Linked DNA regions of Drosophila melanogaster. The protein of the gene in region 2 purifies or fractionates together with the protein of the main gene of each other region. This does not show direct contact. Each region holds a gene or a part of one and is shown on either strand. Other genes may lie near its edges.

What was found.
Region 1: the proteins of ZC3H3 (region 2) and Pabp2 purify together in Drosophila melanogaster (affinity purification with western blotting; one study listed by BioGRID). This does not show direct contact.
Region 3: the proteins of ZC3H3 (region 2) and sbr purify together in Drosophila melanogaster (affinity purification with western blotting; 2 studies listed by BioGRID). This does not show direct contact.

Annotation. Positions count from the first base shown.
Region 1 is NT_033778.4:8,127,150-8,138,130, reverse strand, and holds Pabp2 (Pabp2), read right to left. Parts: upstream 6,701-10,981; 5' UTR 6,408-6,700; intron 6,211-6,407; 5' UTR 6,098-6,210; coding exon 5,999-6,097; intron 5,742-5,998; coding exon 5,340-5,741; intron 5,190-5,339; coding exon 5,056-5,189; intron 4,991-5,055; coding exon 4,951-4,990; 3' UTR 4,923-4,950; exon of another isoform or gene 4,654-4,922; intron 4,517-4,653; 3' UTR 3,757-4,516; downstream 1-3,756. Other genes in the region: Obp44a (Odorant-binding protein 44a), read left to right, coding at 3,120-3,164, 3,235-3,621; CG42516 (uncharacterized protein), read left to right, coding at 6,987-7,439; Pbp49 (PSEA-binding protein 49kD), read left to right, coding at 7,503-8,636; Socs44A (suppressor of cytokine signaling at 44A), read right to left, coding at 9,336-9,807, 9,870-10,426; coil (coilin), read left to right, coding at 10,932-10,981. UniProt on the Drosophila melanogaster protein: Involved in the 3'-end formation of mRNA precursors (pre-mRNA) by the addition of a poly(A) tail of 200-250 nt to the upstream cleavage product.
Region 2 is NT_037436.4:8,504,003-8,514,397, forward strand, and holds ZC3H3 (ZC3H3), read right to left. Parts: upstream 5,762-10,395; 5' UTR 5,643-5,761; coding exon 4,975-5,642; intron 4,877-4,974; coding exon 4,331-4,876; intron 4,234-4,330; coding exon 4,038-4,233; intron 3,980-4,037; coding exon 3,596-3,979; 3' UTR 3,467-3,595; downstream 1-3,466. Other genes in the region: Pus7 (pseudouridine synthase 7), read left to right, coding at 6,083-6,201, 6,262-6,449, 6,511-6,882, 6,938-7,040, 7,100-8,522; CG6683 (uncharacterized protein), read right to left, coding at 10,194-10,395.
Region 3 is NC_004354.4:10,838,242-10,848,778, reverse strand, and holds the start of sbr (small bristles), read left to right. Parts: upstream 1-1,686; 5' UTR 1,687-2,190; coding exon 2,191-2,287; intron 2,288-2,351; coding exon 2,352-2,512; intron 2,513-2,579; coding exon 2,580-2,672; intron 2,673-3,697; exon of another isoform or gene 3,698-3,859; coding exon of another isoform or gene 3,860-5,674; exon of another isoform or gene 5,675-6,089; coding exon of another isoform or gene 6,090-6,533; exon of another isoform or gene 6,534-6,574; intron 6,575-8,883; exon of another isoform or gene 8,884-9,125; coding exon of another isoform or gene 9,126-9,266; intron 9,267-9,323; coding exon of another isoform or gene 9,324-9,392; exon of another isoform or gene 9,393-9,549; intron 9,550-10,537. Other genes in the region: Pgls (6-phosphogluconolactonase), read right to left, coding at 298-414, 534-1,009, 1,141-1,279; CG32669 (uncharacterized protein), read left to right, coding at 3,860-5,674; CG15209 (uncharacterized protein), read right to left, coding at 6,090-6,533; CG15210 (uncharacterized protein), read right to left, coding at 9,126-9,266, 9,324-9,392. UniProt on the Drosophila melanogaster protein: Mediates the export of the majority of mRNAs from the nucleus to the cytoplasm. In ovarian follicle cells, plays a role in transposable element silencing regulation by enabling the nuclear export of flamenco (flam) transcripts and subsequent piRNA biogenesis.

The DNA.
Region 1 (10,981 bases), on a different chromosome or scaffold from region 2:
TGTGCCAGGTCAGCGAGCTCCAAGTTCGTCGGCCAGTTAAGTTTCGAAAGTATTCTGCTCCCAGCAGGTCTTTATGTTTAGTTCTAAGGATGACCATTATACATATAAATTACCCAATGAAATATACCTTCACTTTCGCCGTGACGGAACTCTTTTATTTCTCGGAGTGTGGCATGAGTTATGAGCTAGATCCGGTCGTAGACTGTAGTTAGCGTAGAGTGAACATCGGTAATTTAGGTATTCGTGAGTATGAATAATATAATTCTTGAAGAATTTACCATATTAAAAAAAATGCAGTATATCCCGAGGCGCCTTTTCCCGATCGAAAATGTCTAAGGAATTGCATTGCATACCCTCGGGCTGCTCAGATCGTGGAGATCATAGCATAGCCACAGGAGTTGGTCGTAAATGATTCGTTTGAGATCTAATACCTTGCCTTTTTTTCCAGATACTGCAGCATGACGTACATCGTCGATCAACTGTTCCCGCCGGTGAAACTCGACGAAGCCTCCGCCGAGTTCTCCAACTTCAACTACTGGCGCGACCCCATCCCCGACCTGGAGATCCCCGAGCTGGAGACGGCGCTGGTGCCACCGAGCACCAAGGTGGACATGGCCACCCTGCGCCCCATTCCCGAGAAGTGAACTGGCTGCTTAGAAGCCCAGCTTGCGTACTAAAAACCTATTTACATATATGGATATGCAACACACTCTATTTATAGCAGATATAGCGCTTTTCCAAATTGTTTGCCTAGCTTCAAACCTTCTAGATGTGCTTACCAAAAATGAAATATCTATATTATGCATAAGCTTAGCCAGGATTCGCGATTGCCTTGGTTCCATTATCATTTCCTTTCGATCGTTTCTAGTTAAATGGGTGGTTTAAGTTGTAATCAAAATTCAGTTATTAATAGTGACTACTATAAGTATGTTCCTTTGAGACTCCCCGCAGGTTCGTAGATGATGCATATTCCAGACGGCGCATAGGAGTTGTGATTTTGATTTCATTATTTTTCGTATGTGATCATTTAAATTAAGTTAATTGTGATGAGGTTTTTATTTGAAGTTTTTATGAAAACTGTGCTCTAAACCTATGTATACTTAACTGATAGTGTTTCAATACCAATAAATGCTTCAAATTCAAACAAAACAAGTCAAGTCTATATACAATTCTCTGTTTGTGTCTGGAAACCACCTGCACCTGCCTGGCGTCTGGCATACGAATTATGAGTTGACTGGGGACGACACTCGATTCCCAGGCGGCTTCTCATGTTGCAGTGGAAAGTTCTCGCATCTGGCTGGGGCACCTCCATGATCCGAGCCGAGAGCCGCGGGTGCGTTGGCAGCGGGGGGCATTTCATTTGTCAACGTAATTTTGCCAATTCAATTAATGCTCATTTAATGCAGAGCAGGCCGACCGGCCAGCCTACAGCATACACATTGGTGTACAATGGCCCACGGACAACGAAGTGGGCAGTTAAGTGGCCACAAACGGTCGGTCATGCAAACTCAGTGGCAGATCCACAATTACTTTTCCTAGGGGGCACAACTCTCCTAGTATGTACATATGGGGGAATTACGAAAAGCACAGTTTTGCGTATGTGAACATGCCTTTTGGTTCCAAAGTTCTATGAATTTTATTTTCCATTTAAGCCAGTCGCTAAAAAAAAAACCAAAATCTGATTTATACAATCAATAATAAAGACATCAACTAATGACATGAATAATGATTTTGGTTTTGGTATAAAATTGTTTTATATATTCTTAAACAATCGAACGAGCAAGTATGATAACTCAAAGGAATTCCAAATGAAGTTATATTACATCGATGTCATTTCCTAAAATCACGAATATAGCATAAGATAGTTCTATCCCGTGGACCACACCTATGTGATTTGATTTTGGATTTTATACTAACAAGCAATGGGAATCTGAACCGATTTTTCTGCTTATGCTAATGCCACAACTTATATCAGAATCAGCTGATAATATTTCCATTTGAAACTTTGTTGTATAAATTATATTTATTAATAAGAAAAAAAAGAAGGTATATTGACTTTGGCCGGAAAGACGAAACATTTGCGAGCATATAAAGAATATACGTATATTCATGATCAGTATCAGCAGCCAGGTGGATTTCGCTATGCCCACCAGTTCTACTACGCAAACTCAGTTCTACAGATATCTAAATGAAACTACCATTAAAGTTTGTTCTCTAATACTTGTCAGGTAGTATATAAGTAGGAACGGGCCGGATTGGACTTGGGCCATTGCATCACTAGGAATATTCGAAAAAAATGTTGGTCAAAAAGTATTTTAGTTCGGTTTTCGGAATTTTTTAAACAATATATAATTTTGGTTTTAATTTGGTAAAAATCCGACGAATATATATTCCGAACAGTCGGAAAAGTAATTGAAAATGGCAGAAATTAAATCACAGTTCATTTTGATTCACTATGATCTTTATGCGGAATAAAATCTTAGTTTTGATATATAAATTGTGCAATGATATATATCTTTCCTTCCTGTTCTCTATTTAAATTTGGTAATGCGTTCTCTTGGAATGCTAATGTAATGGATAGAAAAATCAAATTAGCTCATCATATAAAAAGAAACAATATAATTGTTATCCTCTTTAACCAGAAGTAAATGCCATTTAAATAAAAATTTTTTTGCTTCATGATAATGGTATATACAAAACTAAGAAAAATTATATCGAGAAAATTACTACTGCTGAACAGTAGTAAAAACCAAATACTGCATTCTAACATTAAGACCAAGCCGAGCGGCATAGCCGCTCTTCTCTATTGCCAGTATCCCTGCAAACTCTTCAATCCTAGATATCATTTTCATATATCAGGTAATCCTTAATTTCTCGTCTCCTCAACAACCTCGACATTATCAAAAAATTCCATAATGAGATTTAAATTACGCCGGCGAGTGCAACTCAATTGAGCGACACTCAAAATCGCCCCACAGTTGAGTGCGACATACCCACATTGAGCGGGGCTCGAAGGTATAAAAGCTGGAGCAGCCCAGACCACAGTCAACAGTTTCCTCCGAGCGAGCATTCAGTCCTCACACAATCTATCACAGAAGCCAAAAAAAATAAGATTCACCATGAAGAACGCTGTTGCTATTCTGCTGTGCGCCCTGCTGGGTCTGGTAAGTGTTGCAAGGAGACAGAAGCCGATGGCAGCCAGTAATCTAAATTCATCCGTTTGCTCCTCGACAGGCCTCTGCCTCCGACTACAAGCTGCGCACCGCCGAGGATCTGCAGAGCGCGCGCAAGGAGTGTGCCGCCAGCAGCAAGGTGACCGAGGCCCTGATCGCCAAGTACAAGACCTTCGACTATCCCGACGATGACATCACCCGCAACTACATCCAGTGCATCTTCGTCAAATTCGACCTGTTCGATGAGGCCAAGGGCTTCAAGGTGGAGAACCTGGTGGCGCAACTGGGCCAGGGCAAGGAGGACAAGGCCGCGCTGAAGGCCGACATCGAGAAGTGCGCCGACAAGAACGAGCAGAAGTCGCCCGCCAACGAATGGGCCTTCCGTGGCTTCAAGTGTTTCCTTGGCAAGAACCTGCCCCTCGTGCAGGCCGCCGTCCAGAAGAACTAGGAGTTCAGCGCAGTTCCACATCAATTCTAGAAGCGAAAGATCAATCAACACGCAAGCAACGCGGCATTTTCGAGTTGAAATCCGCTCAGGCTCTGCAATCCTACGATTGAAATAAAACCATATAATAGTGCTTTTGAATGAAGAATGTTCTTTTTATTATTCACAATATTTCTGAGGGCTGGAAGAGAGGTAGGGCTGCTGGTGGTGGCAGGAATCAAGCTGTTACTCGCATCCTCAATCCCAAAAAACCTTGTCCCGCCCAAAGGAAAGGCATTGATAGCTTATTTAATTCGATTATATTTGTCTTCATCTTTTTCGCTTTAGTAAATTCAACTTCTTTTCTTATCTTCTCTTTACTCTATATATTTTTTTTTTAAATATATAAATTACACACGCACTTTTTATATATTTTGTTGATTTACTTCTTTCCCAAGAGTCTTGTGTTCTTTTGATTTTTTTTTTATATTTTCTTCCTTCTTTATTTGCTTTTGCCATCTTTTAACTTCTTTTATTTGGGGTTTGTGGTTTCTTTTGCGCTTCTTTTATATATACTTATTGTTGTATATACTTTTTTGTTTTTTAAATCAACTTCTTGTTTTTCATAATCTTTTTTTTTTTTTTGATGTTTTATTGAAAATTAAAATGTGTGAAAAGGGGGTGTTTGGTGTTGGGTGCTTCAAAAAACATTATAGCCAAGTCAAGATATTCGTTTTCCTTGTTGATTTTTTATTATTTTCGAGGTCTCTTCTTTTCGCCTGTTTTCTTGCTGCTGATGCATTTTTTATTGAAACGATATTTTTTCTGGCGTTTTCTGTTGCGATTGTTTTCTCTTTTTTATTTAGCAAAGAAGTTTGGCAATAAAATAATGTTTTTTGAAATTATATTGTAAAAAAATCTGAAATCAAATAGTTAATGGATTAAAGACGACAGTCGGTAAATCGAATGGAAGCATTATAATAAAACCCAACACGCTGCGAATGAGAGCAAGGTATTCCCATAAAGGGTTCGGAAAATTATTCTGTTTTTGACCATAAATTTGATTGTTTTTATTTCCCGTAATGATCTACCAGCTATGCAAACTAAATCTATTTAGCTCCATAAAAACAAACGGCATTTTCTAACAACTTAAATTTAACATAAAAAGACGTCCTCATTGGTTTTATAAATTTTAAGAAAAAAAATGTATCAAAATATAAGAGATAGATATCGGATTACTTTATGTAACCGACATAAATCGGACGCAACCCACACATATAAAATTTCAACTATCAATTATTTTCAGTTCGAAATTGTCAACTTACCTTACTAGGGATTTTAATAAAACAATAATCAGTAAGGAGCGTAGTAATTGGCGCGACCACGGTAACCCCTTCTGGAACGAAAGACAGACCGGGATTAGCTCGATCCAATCGGGATTTTCCAGAGCCCACTTACATAGCTCTTCGGGCGCCTCGGAAGGTGGAGTGACAGCACGCCCGGGAGACACGGGCTCCTCGACCCCGGAAGCTGCCGCGTGCGAAACGGTTTGTGGTGGAGAGTCCAGGGCGGTTTGTGCGCTTCGACATTACCTGAAAGTCAATAGATTAAGCTAAAGTCAACTCTAAATATGTGCTTTCAAAATTGCGCTACGTAGGAGTCCCTAGGACTCATTCTATCCACATATGTACATGAGAGTTTGATAGGTAGCAGGACTAGCAAAAAGTGCTTCAGATACTCACCTTTATTTGACGCCCTCGGAAGAGGGTTTCGTTCATGGCCAATGCCGTCTCGACAAACTCCTTGGAACCAAACTCAATGTATGCGAATCCCTTGGGGTGCCCGTCAGCCTTGTTGCAGAGTATGGTTACTCGGTTGATTGTGCCGCATCCGTGGAAGTGGGCCTCCAGTTCCTCGGCCGATGCGCCGTAGTCCACATTGCCCACGTAGACGGACCGCGTGTCGATTTCCTGCTTCTCCTCAAGAGAAAGCGGGACTGTGGCCAAGCCGGTGGTAGACCCACCGGCCATTTGTTTGTCCACCTCCGACTGCATCTGCTTTATCTTCTCGGCCTCCTCTTCCATCTCCTTGACTCGAGCCTTTATGGCCTCCAGTTCCGGGTCGATTTGCATGCTGCCCTCCTCCTGGCGACGAGGAAAATATGAAATTTAGTGGTATTTGATTTGGAGCGATGAGCAAACGCCCGAAACCACAGCAGACAATGGAATGGAGTGGCGGTGCGAAGTGACGCTCTGAAAATGGCAGCCATTGCTGCGGTTTTCGGCTTTGTATATCCCCCAAAGCTTTGCGAGCTTTTCCAGGGAATTCGGCGGGCTTTCGCAAGGCGTGAGGCCAAGAAACTGGTTCTTGGGCACTGTCTACAAGGGCAACCCCAACTCACCTCGACCTCTGTGGCGATCTCAGTCTCTTGCTCCCCGTTCGTCTCCTCCAATGACTCCAGGAGCTGATCCTCGTTCAATGTGATATCTTCATCGGCCATTGCTTTGGATTTGGGTTTGTTTACGTCTGCTACAAAAGCTCGGTTTTGTTGGCGCAAAAGCTTCCGGCGTGGTACTCAAAACGGCAGTTGTCGTAACTATGTATGTATGGTAGCTGTCAATGAGAAAAGGGCGGCGAAAGTGAGCATAAAGAGCGTAAAACATTAAGAGCGCGAATGAAGAGTTCATCATGCAAATGCAGTGAAAATCCAAGCCATAAGTAAATAAATTCAGGCTGCGGACACCGAAATGTCTAGGTTTCACTGCGTTCGCACTACTACACTGATATTTAATTAAACACACTGTACTTACGTTTAATAAATGTACAAATTACGAGCTCGTTCTGCTGACGTTGAGTTCGCCCAAAATGGCTGCCCTGTGAAAACACACGTACGCTGGGTTGCTGGGTTGCTGTTTTTCGTTCAAAAGTCTACGTTTTTAAACCCTTTTCGACTTTGTTTCGCGCCACACCACGTCAGCATAAATATTTATTTATAAGCTTATTTATTTATTATTTACTAATATTTACAACTATACGAAAACGTACGTAGTTTTTGACACAAATTGAAACAGATTTGTGTTCGCCTCGTTTTTACCGATGACAGTTTTCGCCTCGATAGTTTCGATGGTTTGGTGGTGGGTTTACCTATCGATAACTGCCGGTATTTAAGAAAGCAGTTCTTTGGATGATAAAAATAATAGTATTTTCACACCACAATGCCATTTTAAATTTACCATAGGAAGGAAAGAAGAGGAATGTGCACGCACATTTCTAACAAGGTTTTGTAAATGGGAATCAGACAAATTATTGTTTAAGGAAGTCATATATTGCGAAATAACGCCATCATTCAACCATCAATCAGGGCCCATGCATAACGATAAAAGGAGAACATGAACGATTCCTCCGATTCGGAGTACGAGGACACAGAGTACCTGGTATTTGCGGATTTCAAGAACCACATTCATCCGCACCAGCTGAAGCACGAGGACGCGGCCATTAAGATCATCGGAATCGAGAGTGACACGCCCATGGCCGAGGTAAATGGAAGCATTTATCGGGGACGCTACGAACATTCCGTGGGAACCAACGTGTTCTTTGAGAAGGAAAAAGACAATCTGGCAAGTGATCCGCTTTTTGAGTCAGTGTGTCGCCAGCGGTACCAGTACGTGGACAAATCCACCAAGGTGATATCTTTTGAAAGGGTCTACGTGGACAATTTGCACCAGGAGGTGGAGAAGTCGGCTGAGACTGAAGAGGACGATCAGACCGAGCCAAAGCCAGAATCTCTGAAGCTAAATATAACTTACAAGGAGGCTATTAACAAGTTTGGAGAAGATCATTGAGTGTGGAGAACTGAGTCTAATCCTGAACAAAAAACACTCTTTCAAGACATACCTCTTAGTACCATGGATACCACCTATATTACAACGAATCCAGCTTTAAGCCTGCGAGACTTTCTAGCCGACTATCAAAAGAAAATATCCGGTACTGCAGACGAAGTGCCCTTCTTTCTCCAAAAAAACCCAGTACTTGTCGACGTGTCTGAAAGCTGTTCCCTGGACTTGATCGAGTCCCCAGACGACAGCTCGATTGCAGTCTTCCAGCCCGCCGCAGACAAATGCCGCCCAACCTTTTCTCCGCCGCAGGAGAACCAGCATGTGCCCTCCACTTTTACTGCTCTAAGCCAGCACAAGGACAAGTCCCGTAAGTGTCCCTTTGGCCGCACCCAGTACAGCCACAAACTGAATCCGACGCCGACAGACTCGCCTAACCTGCACATCGATGCTTGCGGCGAACTGGAGCTAACCGTGCGTCTATATCGACCACCGCGGGCCTACCATCGCGGGTTTAAGGTGGAGATTCCCGTTTTCGCCGAGGAGTTCGTATGTCTGGGCAGCAATTATCTGACCGAGCTGCGGGACAAGATCAGCTGCGTTTGCAATGGAAAACGGTTTGTCGACATCAGCGACGATCCAGATGCACCGTTGCCATCCATTGACACAAATCCCGGTTACTTCTTCATCAACGACACATTCTACAACGACCAGCGCAATCCGGACAATCCCGACTATTCCAAGACCGTCTTGCAGTGGGCTGCCAGAGCGAACGGAGTGAACGGAGAAACGCTTAAGGTGGAGAGTATGGAGGGCAAAAGATTCATCGATCTCACTGTCAGCCCCGGATCACCGCTACACTACCTGCACCACGGCAATTGCGAACACCTGTTTGTGATCTCCCAGGTAGAGGTGCTAACGCCACTTAGTAAACGGCCAGATCGCAGCCTGTATCCCTATCCTCACGCCTTCAGTACGTTTAATCGCAGGACTTGCTATATGTGCGGCATTCGCAGCTATAGCTTCATCGTGAACCAGTCCCGGCGACAGCTGCACGATCCCTCCTACCTGTGCCGCAGATGTTTTCTCAGCTTCTTTTACGTGGATGGTGTCAAGCTGGGCCAGTTCAAAGCCTATCGCATGTATGACCATGTAGAGCTGGAGGGCGAAGAGGAGGACATTAAACAGCAAAATCTCCCCTCCTGAATATACATATACATTTGTGTGATTTTTTCTTTATTTGCGAGCTCCTTTGACTGCAAGATCGCTCAAGGAGTTGATTGATATTTTGTTCTTGTAAAATATTCATAGATAGATTTAAATAAAATACATACACGTTGCAACAAGAGTAATTGGCATTGAACGTATTCGATTGCCGTAAAGCTGCCTAAATTCCATGCAATCTAGATTAGCAAAAAGTTAGTGTCCAAGTTAGGAATACAAAAATGCAAACAACGTAAATAGTACGATACATCTGGCTTAGAACTTACGTTAATACATATATGCAGTAGTTCAATGTTTAAAAATTTGCTTAAGGATTTGCACACTGTGGTGCAGAGTATAGACTTGACCAGGACCCATATAAAACAAACCAATAGACTAAATATGGCAAATAACATAATACATTATCCTAGACAAGATACTAGTACTAACCGTACTTAGCAGTACAATACAGTAAAATTCTGTGCACTGGGATTCCGGCGTGCACGTGAAGAGAGACTGTGCGCTTAGTTACTGGGGCGTAGAAATGCATCAACAACATATTGCCAATCCGACCAACAAATATCATTACGAACAACTGCAGGCTGGGATTCCATTCGCCCGGACCTCTTTGGTGTACGCGCTTGCGTTTACTTCAGTGTTAAAGCTTTGACCAGCGGCTTCTCGACGGCGGGCGGCGGTTGCCTAACTCTGGAAGACCAGCTCCCGCTCCACCGACAAGTACTCCAGCATCTGCGCCGGCACTGGCAACTGGGCCAGCTGTTCGCGAGACATCTGGCGCTGCAGAACACGGCGGCATAAGTCCTGCAGCTTGGGCATGTTGGAGTACCGGCTCAACGGGTACTTGAGGATCACTGGAAACGGTGGCTGCATCTCGTTGGGAACCTTCACAAAGCACACAAAGTTGTCGTTGGTGCAGCGGTGCAAGATATCTTCGATCATCTCGACAATGGACTCGTACTTAAGTTCCTCGAAGTGCCAAAAATTGTCGCGATATTCCAGTCGATAATGCAGGGTTACGTTCACAATCCGAAAGCTGAGCGTGAATTGGGATCCGCTGGTTTCCGAGTCGCGGACTAGAAACGACCCAGTCGGCTTGTCACTCAACTGCCGCTGCGAATCGCGCCTGGAGATCTCACCCCAGTACCACACTTGGCTAAAAACAAACAAAGGGCATGAGTCATCGATCGTTGATGGACGGAGAAACACGGCGCTTACTTGAGCATCTCGGAGCAGGCCTTGTACATGATCTGGTTGGGCGAGTGGGCGTCCTCGCGCTCAAGCCATTTCTTCCGGATAAAGCGCAAGTAGTCGTGTGTGAATGGTAGCGTGGGTTCCGGACAGATGGCCGGCGTAAGGAACTCGTAGGTGGCATCAGTAGTTCCGCCGTCGTCGCAGTCGCCCATGGAGTGCCAGTTTCGCAGGGAGCTGAGCCCTTGGCCCACCTTCCTTCGTAGTCTGGCAAACACGTTTCGCTTGTCCTTGTCCCGCCTTCTGCGCAGAGTTCCTGTGCCCGTGCCCCCATTGCTGCAGCTGGCCATGGAAGAGTCCGCTGCCTCAAGGACGCACACTTCGTTGTTGTTGTTCTGCGATCCACTGGTGGAGACGGCGGCGGATGCAGTCACGGCCAGCGCCGAGTCGGACTTCTTGCGCCTGGTCAGCGAGTGGAACCAGCCCTTCTTTTCCTTCTCCCTGTCCCTCGGGGAGTCACCACCGCCAGTGAGCGCCTGGCTCCGCTGGCTGCTCTGGTTTTGACTCTGGTCGCCGTGGCTCATTTTGGAGTGGAATCGGATCGGATCGGAGCTTCCTCGTGGTGGAATTACATCATTGATCTAATTCGGAGCCGTGATCAATGCCTAACTTTATTGATAAGAACTATTTGTTTTCGTTGTACACAAGAACTGTCTTATCGCTATCGGTCGTGCGTAGCTGGTAAATGCTATCGATAACATAGGGGAGTTTAAAAAATTAAATTCTCTGCAAGGCAAAGCTTTAATTTATCCATTATTACAGCCCTCTGCTTTAGGCATTTTTAAAACTAACTTAAATTATTTCAAGTAAAATCTCGTTGACTTAAATATATTGTTTTCCATATTGCAATTTTTTAATATTAATGTAGTTTGTCATTCAAATAAGCTTTATTTTTATAAATCGCTACAAAAAATATGACATTAATTTGACAGAAATTTAAACACATCGATTTAACGATAACGAAATCGAACATACTTCCATCTCTAGCACATTTAAAATCATTTTAATCATAAGAAAACTAAGTCAAAAATGCAACACTCCAGCATGAAGGTGGATCTATCAAACTTTTTCAAGGACGA
Region 2 (10,395 bases):
ATCTTTTGTGAAACTGATAAAGTTTTAAGGCCAGGTTAAAAGGCTGATAGGATAACTAAAATCAAAAATAGTAAGTACATTGAATTTAACTGTGGGGTTGTATCCACGACTTATGTCCCATTTTGATATGGGGAAAATTAGTCTTTATTTGTATATCAAAAGTACAAATAGAATTTTAACTTTGAGAATTGGTCAATTATTGTTATCTCGATCAGATATAAATATAGCTCGAAATTTTAATAGGTCTAAACTGTTGTTAAACATATTTTTACTTGATAGATGAATTCATTATACTCAGTTTACATCGGTTGCAATTTGCAATTTTACAATATTATTACTTATTTTAAGTTTAGGACTGAGTATAATGTGTTAGTTATGAAATGGGTCCCTGATAAGTTAGTAATTTTGTTGCAGCGGAAACCGCATCGACAACATTAATATAATATTTGGGCGGTTGAGGCTATGGCGTATAACGCAGCCCGCCGCTTTACTTCGCACCACGAAGTTGTTGATTGATGGCTGCAAGGCGCTCTTTGTAGCGCTGCCGGTCTTCCTCATTAGTTGCCGTCTTCAGTAGTTCGATGTTGAGCCTCCGGGCGCTGAGCAACTTAATCCGGCGGCCACCCCTCTTCTTTTTAGGTGGCTGCTCCCTCGCTGCAGTCCGTGCCTTGTACTCTTGTATGGTCAAGGGCTTTGGTCCCGCGGACGGATCTACCTCTATTACCTCTTTGATACTTGGCAGATCCCTTTGCTCGACAGGAGCAGGGTGTTCGAACGTCTGCTTGGTAGACATTCGCTGTTGTCATGTGCGGCGCGCCGGTGGAATCCTTTATCCTTTATCCTAATCCTACCCTCGCAGGATGCCGTGCTAATTGCTGTTGCGGCTTACAATGGTCGAGGGCAGTCGTTCATGCAGACGTCGGGTCTTTTCGGCTTGGGTGATGTTGAATTTTCAGTTATTTCTTCATTGATTATTTCTATTTTTGCTGAGTGAGTTGTGGTATTCGGCTTTCTTTGCTGGAGGTTTTCTTTCAGAAAGTCTAATTCGGCAGTTAATTTCTGTGCCGTTGCCCATGGGGGCGGTGTTTTATTTGTATATCATAGCCACTTAATATGTGCTATACCTTTATTTTTGATTTCCTGACATCCGCGTTTGCCCATTACCACACTCTACTCACTCAGTATTTTTGTTTCTTTTTTTTTCATCAGTGTCCCGTCTCTAGGTCTCCCGCACTGGTGTAAGGGGCGGCCTGCCTCTCACACCTGTTGTCGCTGTTTAGAATTCCCAAATCAAATCGGCAATATTAGCAGCATTTCCTCAGTAGTCCTCAGATCGCAGGCTCCTGCCTCACGGTCGCCATGTAATAAACCAATATATGCCACCAATTGAGAACACGTGTTTTCCTTGCAGTTGGGTGCAGCCGTCAGGCCACCTTTTTATTTCTTCTTATCTCTTCGAGTAGCAGAAACGGTTCTGCCCGCTTAACCTCTACAGAGTGTCTGATCTTACCTAAATACTGCGACTGCGCCGCCGTCGACAGCGGCAGAAGAGCAGCGTATATATATATGTATAAGAGAGAGAGAGAGAGAGCTTATGCGCATATATGGCCAGCGGCCAGCGTGGGGATGCTGACTTAGCTTAAAGCATAAATGGGTGATCTTATATCACGCTCACTTGAGACATTTATTTATGCAATGCAACTAAGTGTTGCTGTGTACTTATAGGTACAGTGTACCCTCGATATATGCACATACTACAATGTAGCCCCAAAAGTAAAAACGCCAGCAACATTAATTTTTAGTGGTATCGTGATACAATGCATGTTAAAAGTCATTGTAGTAAAAACCGACCAAAAAGTAACCCCTATACGGCTACTAGGCACCGTTAGTCCGACTGCACGACCCACCGCGATGAGAAAGATTCCAAGATACCCACAGCGTTCCAAACGAGGCCCCAATTATGCAAATTATTAAATGAAAATAAAATCTAATATAATTATTTCGTGCTGGAGATTCGAATTCCTAATGCCATTGTCACATAAATTTCAAGTTTAAGCATTTTCGGTTAAGACTTTCGTTGGGAATTTATGGGGATTCATGCTCACCATGGAATGTGGCTGGAGACTGGAAATCTATGCTTTGTTCTCCACTCTCTTTTCCCCTTTTTTTATTGTTTCTCGCTTTGTTTTATCACAGGCTGCCGCAGAATTATTTTGAATTAATGTAATGGGTGAAAATGTGGCTCATAAAATAGTAATTATACGAAATTAGAGCAAACTTGATGGCGATTTTCCTACAATTAAGCTGGTAATAGGTCAATATTAATGAGTAACGAACGGTTTTCGAAAAATTGTTACACTCAAAATGATTAATGGCGAATATATGCAACCGTTATTTGCTTATTTATCGCAACTTTTGGCTGCACATTATGTAATTTTACATATTTATGCAGCTAAGCGGAGGTTGCATAAATTATTAATACATTTTTATGGCTCTTTGGTGTCATTTTGGTCAGTAATTTATGTAGAATACGGCTGGGCCAACAACAAGAATCCGAAGAAGAGGAAAAAGCAGAAGGAGAAGTCGCACTCACACACACACACACACACAACACAGCCACACACACTGGAACACAAACGCGGGTCAAACAAGTCAAGCAACTTTTTTCACCTCTTTGGCCAATCTTCGGATTGCCTTCCTTTTTTCTCTTTTTTCTCCTCTTGTTATTAGTAGCATTTAGTTAGGAATGCACCAAAGCGAGAACGTATCGGAAAAAATGTACCAACAGCCACAAGTGCACAATTGAACAAAAATTCGGTTGGAAAATGGTTTTGGCCTGGTTTTCTGGACCAAGACGAAGCGAATGAGAGACGTTGTGTGAAAGAGAGTTTCGAAAATTCCCGATCGCGAACAGATGTCAAAGCCAGTGGACGAGTTCAAAGGCCATTTGCCGCAAATCTCCCATGTTTGTGGTCCGCATTTTATTTTTGGTAACTTCACAGCCTTTTCGCTTTTCTTTTTGGCCTGGTGAGCAATAAATTTGCAAGAGCCACCGCTACACACGCACGAGCACTAACACACACTCACTGTTTTTGTTGTTGCTCGAAACGGAATCCGCGTTTGTTGTTCAGGTGTTGTACGAGCCGCATGCAAAATTCAACTGTGGCGAGAAAATCGAGACTCGAATCGAGAGAGCGGCTTAAAAACAGGTACACAACTATGTGGCGCCACAAAATCCAACAACAAGTGGTGCCACCTGGTCACACTGCACGATCGGCATGTTGCCAGATGGTTGAATACACCGCGAAAAAACTGTGATTTATTTTGGTAATAATCTTAGTTTAATAATTTATATACATAAACAACATAAAACGACTAATGCAAATGTTTACATTTTCCTCGAGCGTAGCAAATATATACCCAACCAATAAAATGTATCTTTTATTTATTTTACGCAAATAAATTTGTCTTTTTGAATATTTTATTAAAACTTGAAAATAAGCTACTAAAGATAAATCTTAGACTAAACGTTAAAACAATACTTAACCGAATTAATTTGTACCTGAAACGTTGGGTCCATAGCCTTCGCATAGCCTTATAGCTTTTCTTCGCCACCTAAGGGAATAAAAGAGGGTAGAGTTCCCAGTTGAGGACGTCGTCGAGGGCAAGGGGCACCCGCTTCCTTCTGATCCTCATCCTCCGCTTCAGGTTTCTTCTGTTCCACATCATCTCTAGTCAATATTGCTTCCGCTGGTTCCTTGTGGGACCCAAAGTAGCGTGAACTGGTGGGCAACTCATCCGCTGTAGACGATTCTTTCGCGGTATCCGTGAAGGCGACAGGTTTACTGCCCAGTTTGGGACGCGACTTGACTTTGGCCAATCGCTTTGATGGCGACTTCTTACAGAACACGCACCTGGGTAATTCGCACTTGCCCTTGCGCTCCAACTCGGGACAGGAAAACTCGTGACGTTTGTTGCACTTAAAATGTTTTGGAGTTAATAGGTTTTCAATGAAAATAAGTGGCAGACCTATTTACCTCGGCAGCCAACGGACAGTAGCCGCGCACAAAGTCAATACAAATCTCGGTCTTGCTGCTCAGCTTCTTGTGTAGGTACGGGCAATCCTCGCGAACGCAAACGCCGCGCAAATAGTACCGACAGACGGGCATCTTCTCCAGCGTGACATTATGGGACAGCAGGCATTTGGGTTTGGTGCACTCCCCGCGCAGAAAGCTGCAAGTAAATGATTTCAAAAAGATAACCGCATTGCGAATTTCGAACATTGGACGCCATCGAAGGTTTAGCACTCTTCGCTTGGCCAAGGACAAACCTGACACAGATGGCAACCTGCCGCTTGTCGTGCAGCTTGCGGCACTTGCCACGACTATGGGCAACGCACTTGCCCAGCTTCTGGAAGATGGCACAAGGCACATTGGTCTTCACCAACGATTTGTTGAGCAACGTCAGGCTTCTCTGTTTGGCGGTGATTAAATGGGCTCGCGACACGTGATTACTGGTGCGTACAAAGACATTCAGTGCCTTTGGCGAAGCAACGTAGGTAAGGCCGCCGATATCGATGCGCCTCAGGATGCTACGATTTACGCTACTCTGGGTAGCACCAGTTGATGAGGTTGAAACTCTGGTCAGGCGGCAGCCGGAAGGATCTAAAATGAACTTATTGCCGCTGACGAAGAGCGTTCTGCCGGACAAGGTACGCTGCAAGGTCCTGGGACTCTCCGATTTGGCTACCCTAGCGGAGGAACTGGCATCCAGCTTGGTTATTTTGTTCTTCGATATCTTCTTGTACATCACACCGTGTATGCTGACCATGCTCAGGGATTTGTTAACGCCCAGCTTCAGCGCCTGCGGCTTGGAGCTGTAATAAAAGTTAAGTTAGTTGATGTACATTACCTTGTCTAACAGAGTCGCCTGTTGCTTGACTATTTTCAACTGCTCGTATCCGATTTTCATTACCTCAGTTTTCTGTTGGGCTGCGCTTCATTGGTGCGTCTCAGGGCGTACTGGCCCACAAACTCGCGTAGAGGACGACGCTTTTTGACCAGCGGTGTGCAGGTAAGTGATATGGAACGCACTAATTTGTACCTAGTGCGTTTAGCAGGTGGAGGAGGATGGAGGGCAGCAACCGCTGGCGCTGCTTTCAATGCTCCTTGCCTCACAATTTTCCGCTTGGAAATGCTTACCAATGGAGGCTGCACCAGGCTGGAAACAGTGGGCACAGGTACTGAAGCAGCGAGCTTCACCGCCGGACCACTTGCCACCACTGATGGCTTGCGCACGAGACACGTGCTCACTTTGCTGATGATCTTGGCGGGCGGAGGAGGTGGAGTCGCCAGTAGGTGTATCGTTGGATCCAGTCGATAGTGCGAGGCGGAAACTTGTTGCATCATAAGCTGCTCCTGCTGCTCCCGCTGGTATTGGTCGTACATGGCCCGCTGGCGATTCAGAAAGTGCGGATTGATATGGATCGCGGGCTGAGGCTGCAGTGGCGCCTGGAACGCCTGGAAGGGCACTTGGAACGGCAGCTGATGCGCCGTTTGACCTTGCAGCTGAAAATTCGGATTGATGTACACCTTTCGCGACATAGACGGCTGTGCCTCGTCGGCACTTATATGCGGCAACATTTCGTTGCTTCCTTGGCTTAACCTAATGAATTAATCCGTTCCAATTTTTGGTTATTTCTCAATTTTTACACTTCTTTCCAATGCTTCTTTGTATTGCACATTTTCTTTACATTACGTACGCAGTGTGAACTTGATCTGGGACCAGAAAAATACCAAAAAATACTGAAGTATAAATGAGGAAAATATACTAACAAAAGTTTTATGATATGTTAATATTAAGCATGTTTTTAAATTATATTTATCATACAATATAAAAAAAGAGGAATATTTGCGGATGAACTTATGCTAACAACCATTTAAGAAATCTATTTCCCGAATAAATGGCACATGCGGCCACCCTAATAAACCTAAAAAGCTTATTGTGAATGGGCACATCATATGTTGTGCAAAACGTGGATTTCATTTGCCGACAAATTTTCAAACGCGAATTTTGAACCAAGATGGGCAAGGATCGGGGCAGAGGACGTAGGAATAACCATTCCGGGCCATACAACAAGAGCAACTGGCGTGGTCAGAAGAAGGATCGCCCCCAAAACAATGGTGGCGGTCAGCGCAACAGGTACAAATTAAATCCCATAAATAATATCGTTGTTAACCGGCGTTTTTCGTTGGACAAAAGTGCTCCACAACAGAAATCCACGCTGCTGGAGACCCAAGTGGGCATTACGGAGTTCACTAACCCGGAGGCACCTGGCTTCACGGGAATACTTAAGTCTCGCTTCTCTGATTTTCACGTGAACGAGATTGATAGCAATGGAAAGGTTCTGGAACTGAACGATCTCAGTGTGCCTAAAGTGGCTATTGTGGGTCTGTATTCACCAATTATCCTGCATACTTGCTTATGCTCATGCATCTCATACTATAACAGCTGTGGCCGAAAACGAACTGGACAACTGGCGGAAAGAACTGGAGGCAGTAATCGGCCCGGAAGTTTGGCAGGATATAGCCAATCTGGCTAAGGCCAAAAACGATCCCGCGATCGAGCAAAAGGTGGAGATTGATGTGACCACTCTGGATAAGGAGCAGCGAACACAAGTCCACCAGATGATAAAACAGCTTTACAAGGGCAAGCTACTGTCCACAACCATTGGACAGCAGCAGGCTAAGCCGAAGGTCCAGGAGGAGGCATCTTTGGAAAATAAGGATGCGGCTGAAGGTGAAACCTCAACCCAGAAAGACTCACAGGTGCCGGCAGAGGAGAAGAAGACTATAAAAGTATTTAAACCAAAGCCAGGACGCGGTTAGTAGAAATGATTACCCAGGGAATTCCTTTTTTTATGCATCGAATTCCATAGGTGACAAACGCTGGAGCTTTCCGGCGGATTACGTGACCTTCCTGGTGCACAAAACCAATTTGGTTACCAGCGATGTGGCCTCTACTTTAGCAGCGCGACTGAAGTAAGTTTGATCAAATTTTAAATGCTTTAATATACTAAGAAAACATTATTTTTCTACAGCTTACGACCATCGCAGGTGAACTACAGCGGCATCAAGGACAAGCGGGCCAAAACCACCCAGAAGTTCTCCGTCAAGCGTCGTACACCAGAGAGCATTTTGGTTGCAGCTCGCTCCCAACGGAATGTTCATATCGGCAACTTTGGATTCGAATCCAATACACTGAAGCTAGGCGATTTGCAGGGCAATCGTTTTCGTATTGCCTTGCGACACATTGCCAAGGAGAAGCGAGAAGAAATCGAGCAGGCACTGCAATCATTGAAGGAACGCGGCTTCATCAACTACTATGGCTTGCAGCGGTTCGGCAACAGCGCCAGTGTCCCAACCTATGAGGTGGGTGTTGCTCTGCTCAAGCACGATTACAAACTGGCCTGCGAACTGATCCTGAAACCCCGGGACTCGGATGTGGAGTTTTTGCGTCCCATACGCGAGGAGTGGTGGAAAAATCGCGACTCCGCGGCGGCAGCTGCACAGATCTACGGCGAAAAGTTCATCGAAAAGAAGCTGCTGGACGGCTTGGCCAGATTTGGTGAATCAGATTACTCATCAGCTCTGCGGCAGATACCACGCAACATGCTCATGCTATATCCACATGCTTACCAAAGCCTGATCTTCAACAGGATAGCGTCTAGACGAATTAAGGAGTTCGGCTTGAAATTGATACCCGGGGATTTGGTTTATGTGGAGCAGGATCAGTCGGAAGCCTCGGAAGAGCAGGCGCAGCAGGGCGAGGCCTTGGAAGAGCAAAAAGAAGAGGAGCCTAACGATGAACCTCTGGAAGTCCCCGAAGGGGATGAAGCCATCGAAGAGGAGTCGATTTTCAAGCGAAAGGTTCGCCCGCTCACAGCAGAAGACATCGCTAGCGGCAAGTACAAACTTTGCGATGTGGTCCTTCCCCTGCCTGGACACGACATCACCTATCCCAGCAACGAGTGCGGCGCGTGGTACGAGGAAATGCTCGCCGAAGTGGGTCTTTCCTCGGATCAACTGAAGCACAAGGAGAAGACATACGCATTGGCTGGCGCCTACCGCAAGATGATCATATCGTCCAGTGATCTCAAGTGGAGCTTTAGAATGTACAATACGCCGGAGGATACACTTATCGCCTCCGACTGGGAGCTATTGAAGAACATTCCGGTTGCACCAGAACCAGCTGAAGCTGAGGCCAATTACATGGCACTCCTGCTGGAGTTCTCGCTGCCCACGGCTGCCTATGCCACCATGTTTTTGCGAGAACTCTTAAAGCAGGACACATCGTCAGCATCGCAAACGCAGTTGGAGAAACAGGCAATGGCTAAGGAGGACAATGAAAAGAAGGCGGTAGGAACCCAGGAGGAACAAATGGAGGTGGTAAAGGAGGTGGCCGACGAGGATGGGCAGGAAACTGAGCAGGCGGAAACTCAGGGGGCCGAGGAGGCGGTGTAGGCCAAGTGAGATACCGAAAATCAATATGCTCAGGAAATCAATTTTACGCGCGCTTCGTATCCAACTTCGAACCAACCACAACAATAACAATGCGCACGTGAGGACGAGGGCTGCTCCCTCTCTCTCTCTCTCTCACTGTCGCATCCCGTGGCTCGCACCCCGTCAATCTCAATCGCTCTCTCTCTCTCTCTCTCTCTCGCCTGGGAGAGTCCTTTTGGTCCTGTTTCTTTGACTGCGATTTTATTCGTTCGGTGGCCACCAACGCGAAAGCTCAAGCGACGCGCTGCGCAGTTTCCCCAGCTCAAAAGTCCAAGTCGCACGGTTTTCCCCAGCGTTCTCAATGAAGAGCAATAACAAATTATTAATTGACAACAAATAACGAACAAGCACGGTCCCCCAAAAATCCACGGACTCCATCCAATTCATCCAGTGATTTAAAGAGATTTTAAACCAAATAAAAAAACCAAGAGGCGAGACAAGGTGAATTTCCAGTTAAATGTAGCATTTAAACGTTTTGGGCGCGTACTTTGAAAATCCATTTATTAAGGCGTAAGTATACATTCGAGTCTACAAATTGTTTATAACTTTTACGACAACACTGAACTAAACAATCACAGAACTGTACAATATTTGATTTTGGCTCTGGCAGCCTATTGATTTTTGTTGTGTGCTTGTGCTGGAAATCAATCGATAATACGGTGTTAATACCAAGAGCTGAGTCCGGGGATTGGGAATGGGAATGGTCTAGTGGGTAGGTGGCTGGCCGTAGGAGTAGTTGGTTCATATAGTGGCTTAGTGCGTCGGAGGGTTCACCATGTACGTGTGAAGTAAGGGGGACTCAGTCGGTACGAGGGGGTAGTGGTAGTGTGGCATCAGTCGTTAAGGGTGCACGACGCTCCTCGCTCGTTATGTTTTTGTTTCGGCCCACTGCTCCCCCTGCGGCAGTCGTCAAATTAATAAACTAAATGCTTGTTTTGGCGTCGTCGTCGCCCTGTCCCCGTGCTGGAGGCCTTCCCCCGATCCGATCCAGACATGGATATTGGACATGTTATTGCTTGCGCGCGCATTCTTTGACTCTTTGACCAGTTCCCAGCAGCAGCTGCGTCATAGTAGGAGTTTTTTGGCGTGGCTCAATTCGATTTTCCCTCGCCTACTCCACCTGCTCCCCGCCCGCCTGTTCAAAGTTGGCTTTTGCCACACAGATAGCTTCCTACTGCATTACTATACACTCCCGCAAGTCTCTGGCTCTATAAATGACCTCTGGCGACAATTGATGCTTTGTTTGGGGTTTACCAGTTGTCTTGAATTTTAAATTGCTAATCTTAAGCCTCAAATAAAATAAACTATTTAATCACAGGCGTGTTAATGTTTTATCATATCATACAATGCAATAGTTAGTTTGTATAGTAAACTTCATTAGATGCGAAGATTAGGTTAAATGAATGGATTAACAATATTTTTTAGGGAAGCATACATTTGGAAAAAGAAGTTATTTAGTATTCGCTTAAGATAATTGTCCAGATATATAAACTATAACAAAAATGACTTAATTATTAAACAATTATATGATCAGTGATGTTTGCTACTTTTGATATCCTATCACGGCATGTATGTATTTAACTTATCATCATGGCAATCTTCCTTTATAACTATATCATCTTGGCAATCTTCCTAAATAACTATATCATCGATTTGCTCGTCGTTCAGGGCGCGCAGATTGCATTTGCATAGGTAGGCCAGAATGCGTTTCTCCGCCTTAATTCGGTTTGCTTCGCCCAGTCCTTCAAGCAGGGCTTCTATCCTCTTTTCTGCTTGAGCCACTGGCGTTGCATGGGCAGGATTTGTGGGTGGTGCTGGTGCAGCTCCCGCAACG
Region 3 (10,537 bases), on a different chromosome or scaffold from region 2:
CTCGCGAGTGCCGTCATACTGGGTGCGCCATTTGTTGTGTTACCGAGTTCGGCCACACTGCGTAAATATCGATATTTTTCATGTTGCCGATAGCTTTTTTAAACCAGATTTGCATTTTACAAACATTTTCTAAACATTAAATAAATATATAAAGAAATTCAAAAATAATTGTAAAATCACAATATTTGGAGTGTTTATTTATTTTCTCCAACCTTAATAGCTCAACAAATTAAACGCTCTCGAAAAGATTATCAAGGTAATTATTATTTACAAGATGCGATAGTTAACTAAGGAATGTCATTTTAAGGTTTCAATTTCTTTTCCAGCACCCGCGTCCACAATCAATGTCAACTGCCCTTTGGTCGGATTCACCCACGCAGCGGGAAACTTCTTGTCCAGATCGACAAACACACTCTAAAAAATATAATAACAACAAAAATAAACCTTACAAATGAAGTTTTTGAATTGTGGTTAAAAATATCAGATTTCTTGCTCATATTCTTTTCCATCTTATCAAGCTAAAGAGACCTCACCTTGACGACACTGGCTTTTGCGGCGCCCGTAACCACGAAGGCGACATTCCGTGCCTTATTGATCAGCGGCAGGGTGAAAGTGATCCGCTCGGGAGGCGGCTTGGGCGAGTTCCGGATGGGGATAACCAGGCGCTTGGTCTCCTGCAGGGTGGCTGGCTGCTCGGGAAAGAGGGAGCAGGTGTGGCCATCGGGTCCCATGCCAAGCAGCAGCAGATCGAAGCGATCGACTTGACTTTTGACCTTCGCCTCGTAATCTGCGGCGCAGGCGTCCAGCGGTTGGCTGGTATCGGCGCGGACGAACTGGGATTCCTGGATGCAGGGCAATTGGGTTAGCCACTCGGCCCTGTAGGCACCATAGGTGGAATCGCTGTCATCCAGGCGAACATACCGCTCGTCACAGAAGAAAAACACCCATTTGGCCGTTTTTAAGTTGCACGATTTCAGGGCTTTCGTTAGCAACTGGACGAGGGAACCACCTGTAAGCGAAACAAGACACTTGACTTTGGGAGCACAAGTTTAAAGATCGCACCTGGCAAGGTCACCCCTCAAGTTTGGCTTATCACAAGCCAACCCACTTGACCTGCATGACCTGTGCGTTGATCCTTACCCGAAAGTCCCACGCTGAACTTATCATGTTTGGCCAGCGCCTCCTGGGAGCAGCGCTGGAGAAGATCGCCCAGGGCCTGGACAAGTTGCTCCTCCGAAGCGGACGGGATTACTTTTAGCGCACCCTTTTTCTCCGACATATTGCTTGATCTGATAATAAAACTCGACTCGACTTCGATTTGTCAGTAATCACCATTCCCTCTCTCAACTATCGATTACCAATTTATGAAATACATTGCACCGTTTGCGACAAAATGAAAGTAAGTAAATCTTATACGAAAACATTTCACTACCTCTATTCGTAAAATAACAACTTATTTGATATTGAGCAAAAAAGGAGTGTGTACGTGTGTGCTACAACTATATAATATTTAAAGTAAGAATGAGGTAACTCTCTTCAAAACAGTCCAATAAAATAATATTGCATTCTAAAGTTTAACTGCAACAAAACAAAAAATAGCCAATAATCTTTAGATTTATCGCGGTTGTTCTGCGCTAGAGTGTCATCACTGATTACGACCTGTGCGATAGTTGGCCCGCCATCATCGATAGACCTGTCAGAAATTAAGAAAACAATATCAACATCAAGCGAATATACTTCGCTCGCTACATATTTCTAGTTAGTTTTCGTAACTTTTTCGCTTTGGTGGCAATTAAATCAAATTTCCTCGAAGAATAACTTGTAAAAAGGTCGCAAACATCCGTCCAGTTTCTGCCAACCATCGGCCACTGGCTATCGAAAGAAGATCGCTAGTGAATTAAATTTCACAAAATTGCGTTGTACTTTGGCCGTGGAAATTTGCCAAAAAACAGCAGCTACTTTGCTGCTATATTAGCAAATAGGTTCAGGAAGTCGAGAAAAATTTTTCCAGAAGTTGGCAGCAGTTTGTGTGAATGCAAAAAATACATCGCACATAGTTTTTTGCCCTCAAGACAGTTTTCTCAGTAATAACAACAGCACCCACACAAACACACAACACCACTCAGCTAAAAACGTGCTGAAATTCGCATATCTTTTTGTTGCATACGTTTTTGAGTGAATATTAGTAAGATGCCCAAACGCGGCGGTGGCAGTAGCCAGCGGTACAACAACAACGTTGGAAATGGCGGCGGACGTTACAACGCTCCCGAGGATTTCGATGATTTTGGTCAGTACACGGGAGTGCAAGAAAATGAACCCTCCAGTAACCTAAATATAATGTATTCCTATAGATGTGGAGGATCGCCAGCGACGCAAGGATCGAAACAAGCGGCGCGTCAGCTTTAAGCCCTCCCAATGTCTACATAACAAAAAGGACATCAAGCTGCGACCCGAAGATTTGCGTCGATGGGACGAGGATGATGACATGAGCGACATGACCACGGCCGTTAAGGTGCCCACCAACCCCACATGTTATCCCTATGCACATTTCTAATCTAATGTATAATTAATTCCAACAGGATAGACCCACCTCCCGACGTCGGGGATCGCCCATTCCGCGCGGCAAGTTCGGCAAACTGATGCCCAACAGCTTTGGCTGGTACCAAGTCACGGTGAGTTTGGACTACCATGTCATATAGATATCATAGCCGCAATGGCCCAGACCAAAATCATGTGATTTAATAGTAGTTTTATTACTAAGCTAAAGAAGCAAAAGCATTCAGTCCTCCAGCACCTGTTAGATTTATAACGTTCGCCATTATACAAATTAATCGACTGTTCTACTGGATGGCTCTTCTTATGCGAAGTACATATATGTTAAATGTAGTTTTAAGTATTTAGATTACTAACGTCACATAAAACTTCCAGAAGTTTGCTCCAGTGCTCTACTAATTTCCCGCCCCTACATAGAACTACAAACCCCAGACTGGTCCATATAGATACCAGATTTACGACAGCAGTCATAGAACTATTTTTGGTCTCCAAGAACATCATGTGATTCGTCTGATGGCTTTTTTTTTTTGTTATTGGCAAAAGATCGCGTTGAGGGAGCAAAGTATCCGGCAAGAATCGCATAAGTTACAGCGAAATGTTGAGACTTATTTGTTTATTTGTACACTGCTTCCAAAGCTCCAATGCCGACTTGCCGACTGGGCTCTTTGTGTTTATTAATTAATTTCCCTCGTAAAAATCGTAAAGCAAACAAGCCAAAGTTGGGCCGGGGGGATACCAGCTCTACACAGCTAACGACAATCGGGTACTACAATTACAATTGCAATCCGACGAGCGGGCAAATAAATATTTATGGATGGCTAAACACAGTCGTCCACAGTACCAGCCACAAGTGTTTGTCGGCACGAGCTAAAAGTGCAATGAAGTCGAGCCTTTGGTGGTTTGACAGTTGCCATGACCCTCACCTAAATGGTTTCCCATTTTAAGGGCTTGCGGGCCTGCGGTTGGGTTATCCTTCGCCTGGTTGTCACCCTATCCAGCCGCACGTGGTGCAACACAACAGGTCGCTATCTCTCGACGGGGTCGTAAATGCCATAGTAAAATGCCCAATGCTGACTCTCCACCAACAAAAGCTTGCGGTTTCATTCCGTTTGGGCCTTTATTTCATCGACGGCCGGCAGACGGTGAAGACGTGTTCCAACGTCCGACGCCCCATAGAATATATCGCTTGAATCTCAAGAGGCCCGATTAGGGGCAACTTATCAGTTTGGAGTGATTAGATGTGCGACTAGGGTTCCGTCGGGAAAATCAGCCTAACACGTGCCCCACTTAAAACCCGGCATCTGCAATGGCTACTTTGGGCGCCTGGGACTACACGATCCTGGCGGTGGTGCTGATCATCTCCGTTGCGATTGGCATCTACTACCGTTTCGTGGGCGGCAAGCAGAGCACCACCACCGAATATCTTCTGGCGGATCGTTCCATGAACGTGGCGCCTGTGGCCTTTAGCCTGATGGCCAGTTTCATGTCGGCCGTCACCATATTGGGCGTATCCATGGAGAACTACCAGTACGGTACAATGTTCGTCGTGATCAATCTGTCGTATGTGTTGTCCACGCCGGTGGCCGCCTACCTCATCATTCCGGTCTTCTATCGCCTAAAGACGGCCAGTGTGTACGAGTATCTGGAACTGCGGTTTGGCTATGCCACCCGATTGGCCGCCTCGCTGAGCTTCTCGCTCCAGATGGTCCTATACATGGGCATTGTGGTCTATGCGCCGGCTCTGGCCCTGGAAGCTGTCACTGGACTGAGCCAGGTCTTCTCCATCGTAATTGTTGGAGTCGTGTGCACGTTCTATGCGACGCTCGGCGGAATGAAGGCCGTACTCATCACGGACATCTATCAGTCGCTCCTCATGTTCGCCGCTGTCTTCAGTGTAATCATCTGTGCCTGGGTGAAGGCGGGCAGCTTGGAGGTGATATGGCGCGTGGCGCAGGAAAACGGACGCATCAATCTGACCAACTTCAGTGTGGATCCAACGGAACGTCACACTTGGTTCACCCAGATTTTAGGCGGATGTGCCACCTATTTGGCCATCTATGGTGTGAATCAAACGCAGGTCCAGCGCCTGATGGCGGTGAAGAGTTTGAGTGCCGCTCGAGCGGCCCTGTGGTGGTGCCTGCCCATTCTGTGCCTGCTTAGTCTGAGCACCTGTTTCTCCGGTCTGTGCATCTACTGGTACTACCGCGACTGTGACCCGCTGCTGGAGGGTAGAGTCAACTCGCGCGATCAAGTGATGCCGCTCTTTGTCGTGGACACGATGGGCGAATACACCGGTTTGGCTGGCCTCTTCGTTTCGGGAATCTTTTGCGCCAGCCTCTCCACGATTAGTTCGATAATCAGCTCGCTGGCAGCCGTCACCCTGGAGGATTACCTCAAGCCCTTGGTCAGCTGCTGTGCCAAACGCACGCTCACCGACCGTCAGACCTTGTGGTACTCCAAGCTGTTGTCCCTATTCTTCGGAGCCCTCTGCATTGGCATGGCCTTCATGGCGGGATCAATTGGCGGACTACTGCAGGCGGCACTGTCAATCTTCGGCATCATTGGAGGCCCTCTGCTGGGCCTCTTCACGCTGGGCATGTATGTGACCAAGGCGAATGAAAAGGGAGCCATTGGTGGGCTGCTCATATCGCTGGCGTTCTGCTTTTGGATCGGTTTCGGACAACCGAAGCCACCGCTGGTCAGCTTGGATATGTCCACGGCTGGATGTCCGGTGGACAGGAGCTTTGCCCGCGACATTTTCCTCAAGACTGTGATAGCGGTGGCCGAGGAAGAGCATTACTTTTACCTGTACAGGATTAGCTACATGTGGTACGCTGCTTTGGGCTTCCTGATAACCTTCTTTGGCGGATGGCTGTTGTCCTGGCTGTTTGCCCTGCTGAAATGGGACAACAATCGACGCATCTACCAGGATGCGGACTGCACGCTAATCAAGCACGATCTCTTCGTGCCGCCGATAGCCAAACGTTTGCAACGGCGACAAATGCCGCTCCTGGTGGTCACCGGCACCAGTTCGGAGATTGGCGGCATCACGACAGAGAGCGCTACGGCGCCGCCGCGGCTGGACGAGATCGAGTGGGAGAAACACAAGGCAGTGGCGTAACTGAACACATCACCTTAGTAGTTTTTTCTTTTGTTTTTTTTTTGTAGCGCCGTTTTGACCTTAGTTACTCTCCATTAGCTATCACTGCAAGAAATAATAACTTTGCTGTACAATAATACGGTTTAGTTTATTTGCATTTCTATACGAGTCTAAAAATGAGGCAAACTATTATTTGAAAGAATTGCTGCTGGAATTACAATGCTCCTTATAATGTTCTAAAGAAAGTCAGGTCGGAGAATATCATATAGTTGCCATAGTATGTATATCTGCATGGGTCATCCCACTTCGTTCTCCGTGGAGCGTACTACTAGCCTTTTTCTCTTGTCACACAAAATATATATATATATATATATGTATATATATATTAAGTGAACTTTGGCTTTAAATAAACGAGCTTACTCATTAAGCAACTAAATTAACGCTCATCGATGGCCTGATTGGGCTGCTCCTCCGGTCCTTTGGCATTGTAAACATTGCGATTCTGGGACAGATGCCATAGGGCTAGCAGGCGGGCCAGCTCCGTGTAGGTTAGCTTGCGCAGATCACGTCGATCGGCCAGCTTAACTCCGGCGGCCTCTAGCTCCTCCACCAATGTGACGGCATCGTATTCATCCTCCGGATTCTGCTCATTGCGTGGCGCAATTTTTCCGACGAACTCCGACTCTGGCACCGCTTCGCTCTTCACCATGCGCTGCATCTGCTGCACATGCTGCTGTTTATGCTGACGTTGCTGACCCAATGGCTCGTCGACATCTTTTAGCTCCTGTTCGGGATTCATGGGCAGCGAATTGGCCAGGCTGACCATGCCGAGGATCACCAGGAAGATGACCGGAATATTGTTGCACCCAATGGGTTTCATGTTTACGTCCGACTGCTAGTAGCTTTGCTGTGGCACTGCTGCCCGCCTGTCGCATGTCGATCGATCGTGGCCTGGACTCGACTCTCGGGGTGCGCTCCAATTTCTATCTGCCTTCCAACCCGCTCGTACGCTCGCTCGGCTCCCTATCGCTCACTCGAACGCCCCGTGTGGCAGTGCTGGCTGGCGAAGACATTCGCTTTCTTCTTCCAGCATTTGGCTATTATTTTTTTTGGTTACTTTCGAATGCCATGGATTTTGGCAAACAATGGTGCCATTAAACTGCAAGTAAGGCGGGGATATAGATTCTTTTACTTCTAAAACTATATAAATTTGTAATAGATGAGCAGTGAGTGTTTTTAAAATGTATATTTTATTGTATGTTATGCAAAAAATGTTCCATTTAATTCAATACGCTGGAAACGAAGCGCAGCACTGTCGTTTGGGGGGCTGCTTTTGATTGAAAAGTCAGTGTGTAGGGTCGGTTAAATTATTTTATCTGCATATGCAGCACATACACTATACTATACACTATACAACATCGACCCCTGGTACATATGTTATTTAATTGTCTGGCTGGTGCCTTTTGTATTTTGTATTTTGTATGTAGTAGATCCCGCATTTCGTCGTTTTTTATTGTGTATTTTTGTTGGCTACGTTTTTTTTTTATTTTTTCTGTCCGCCTCCAATTCAATTTATCTGCGCAGTTTGTGCTCACTCGGTTCGCCGTCTTCTATTTTCTGCATGTTGGTTTGGCCTAATCTTATCAGCTCTTATTCATAGCCAATTGAACGAGTTGTAATGGTCGAGAGTTTTTAATAATTTCTAGTAGATATGGGTTAATGGACGACGCGCCCCGCGTTAATCAGTCGCAATGTTTCCTTGTGTACCGAACCAATCGGTCAGGCAATCTTAGGTCTAAGAACTTTGTTTGATTGGTCAAAATGTGAATGATATTATTCTACATTTACATGTTCATATTTCACACAAACAATTATTGCTCTATTTGCAACAATTCTAATGGAATACAGTTGAAAAGCAACTAGAGATACCTCGTCTAGAGTTTTAAATTCTTATCGGTAATTGGGCTTATTTAATTACTCACTGCTACAATTACTTTGCCTGCCTTCAGGCGTTGCTAAAAGCTTTTTTTTATAAACAAATTGCAATAGCATAGTCTAACTTGTAGTGCATGCCGAATTAGTGTCAACAAAGAAATTATTGTTAAATATATTGCGCTATTATGTGTTGAATTATAACGATTTGACAAATACACGTAACGACGTTCTTGAGTGACAATGGAAATTGAAAAAAAGTCGAGATTGTCAAGTTGCATGTAACGTGCGACGAAGTAAGTATTGATAAATGTAAATTCTAAATGGAAAATCGCAATTGTCAGTCTTATTTGCATTTTCCTAATGGTTTCACATCTGGCATGCGAGCAACCTACATACATATGTATGTGCTATGCTATATATACATACATATGTATATAAAGTGTTTATAAAATAAATGTACGTGCGAATGGAATGGCCAAAACATTCCACTGACTGATCGTTGTTAGCTTTTATTAGACTGCAAACACGTGCGCCAGCCCGCTTTGGTTAGTTAGTCATTTTTGGTTGAGAATGAAAAGAAGAAAAAAAAAAAACCCAGAACTGTCAGCAGCGTTGATAACCGTGTTGTGGGCCAAACACAACTGACTGACTCACTGTATAGGATAGCTCCATAGCCAGCTATGGGAGGTACCCTATCAAGGGCACCCAATAGCAGCAACCAATCCACTTGACTCTCTTTTGTGTGCATCTCCTGATGTCATCGACCAATAATGCGTTGGATCGTTTCCCTTCTTATCGCTAGCCAGTTGAACTGGCAGATTCCGCCGATTCCAACCTGCGCTCCTGCGGATTCCCACCTTGCCAATCTCATATCCCACATTTATACAGTAGATATGGGATGAGCGAATCTCGTTGAGTACTAGTTTCTACTCAGAACTATCACCGATCACAGAACAGTTAAGAACTTCTATTTCTAACTATGATTTCGTTTCTCAATACATATTTTGAAACAAATACAAGTTTGATGCAACAATTGTTAAACATTATTCATAAAAATTGCATTGAACAGCGAATATTATAATCAAAAGCAAAAGCAGCACTTATTTAATGATATTTGTAGATAGTTAAATAGTTATAGATGCATAGCTTTAAGGTTGTTCTATATGAAATTATCCCATTGAATGCAAAAAATGCAAAAGTGATTGATGATTTCCTGAATCGAAGCCACTTTATAAGACTGTATTTGATTTGAATGAAAGCCCGAGTTTGCCTTTTAATTTAAAGCCAAGTGCAATATTTAGCGATTCAACAATTTATTACGATATTGAAATTCAGGCGCATAACAATTAATAATTACTCGTTAACAGCTTAACTTGATTCATATTCATATTCACATTGTTCGTATGTACATTATCTTTTTATTATTTATTCACACACTCACAACAGACTCACGCACACACTCACGCACACATTGGCATTGAAATGGTTTCAAAAAAAAAGGTTTTGGTTCTTTTCACGTCAGTTAATCTGATGGCAGCTAATCCTGCTCCTGCTCCTCGCTGGTGGTGGTCACCGTCTTCTCCTGCCGCGTGGTGCTAGTGGTGGTGCGTGTCAATGTGAAGACACCGGTGGTGCCCACCTCATCCAGCGGCTGGGCAATGATTGTTGATGTGGTGCTCTGGAAACGAGGTGTTAGACATTTGATACTACATATATTATGAGGAGGGTGTCGTACGCCATTCTTGGTCTCCTCGGGACTCCACGAGCGTTTGTCATCCAAATCCTTTGAGCAACAGCCTCCCATTCTTTGGTTTTGTGCGTATATAGAAATACGTATTCGTTGTATATATGGTATAAATGGTTTGGTTCGGAATGCCTTTATTTTTCGTTCTATATTAATGTATATCGGGGGCCAGTAACTTGTTGCTGCTTCATCGGCGCACGTCTGTCAGCGAATGCCGGTGTTCGATGTGGTGTTCACTTGTTAGCCAAACGAACGAACCGAAAGCCCAACCCAACCCAACCCAACCCAAGCTGCGCCGCCAGCTGTGACTGCGACTGCGACGCCGGAGTTGGGTTGTCATAGCTATATAGCTCCATATCAATTCTAGAAATATGTCTCAGCCAGCGAGCCAGCCAGCCAGCCAGTACTCGCATTCGGTGTATATTGTATTGTGTTGAATACAATAAGTATATGTATAGCTCCATGTATGCCTGTGAGCTGTACAAACAAACCATTCACATTCCAAACAACCAACCAGCCAGCCACCCACCTCAATGCCCCCGTTCGAAACTCTATGTTCCCGAGAATGTCAAATCCGATCTGATTCCCGCTTTGAAAACAGTCACAGTCATCATCTTTATTTTCAAATGGGAACCACTGGCCTTGTCGCCTTAACGGTTCCATTTGCCCATCGAGCAGGTGCAGCGTGTCAACTCAAGGCTGCCATTGTTGTCTGTGGCCTATTTGGTGGCACTATTCAAAGTTGCAACGTGACAACTAATGTCAAAATCCTTCCAAGAGGATTGTGTGCTATGATCTTCCTTTGGTTCATTTAAAAAAACCAAATGGGCCATTAACAGCTTAAATTGGGCACCCTTATATAGAGCTTTTAACTAATTAGCAGAATTAGTCCCAAAAAAAATATAAATAAATACCTTTGTAGTTAGGACCAAACTTTATTTAAAGATCCTATGACACATCAACTTTGCGGGGAAATTCAAATACACAATGGTTGTAAATTAATAAAAACACAACAATTTGTCATTTTTGAATGCGATATCACGAGGGGGTTTATGTTGTTCGTATGTTTTAGTCAATGGAAAGTTAGGGTTAACCATATCGAGGCAACCAATAGACGCAAAAGAGCCAAAATATACATATAATCGTATACAGCTAATGCCCGTAATAAATAAATTTATCGCATTAATGCGCAATGAATGAGTGGG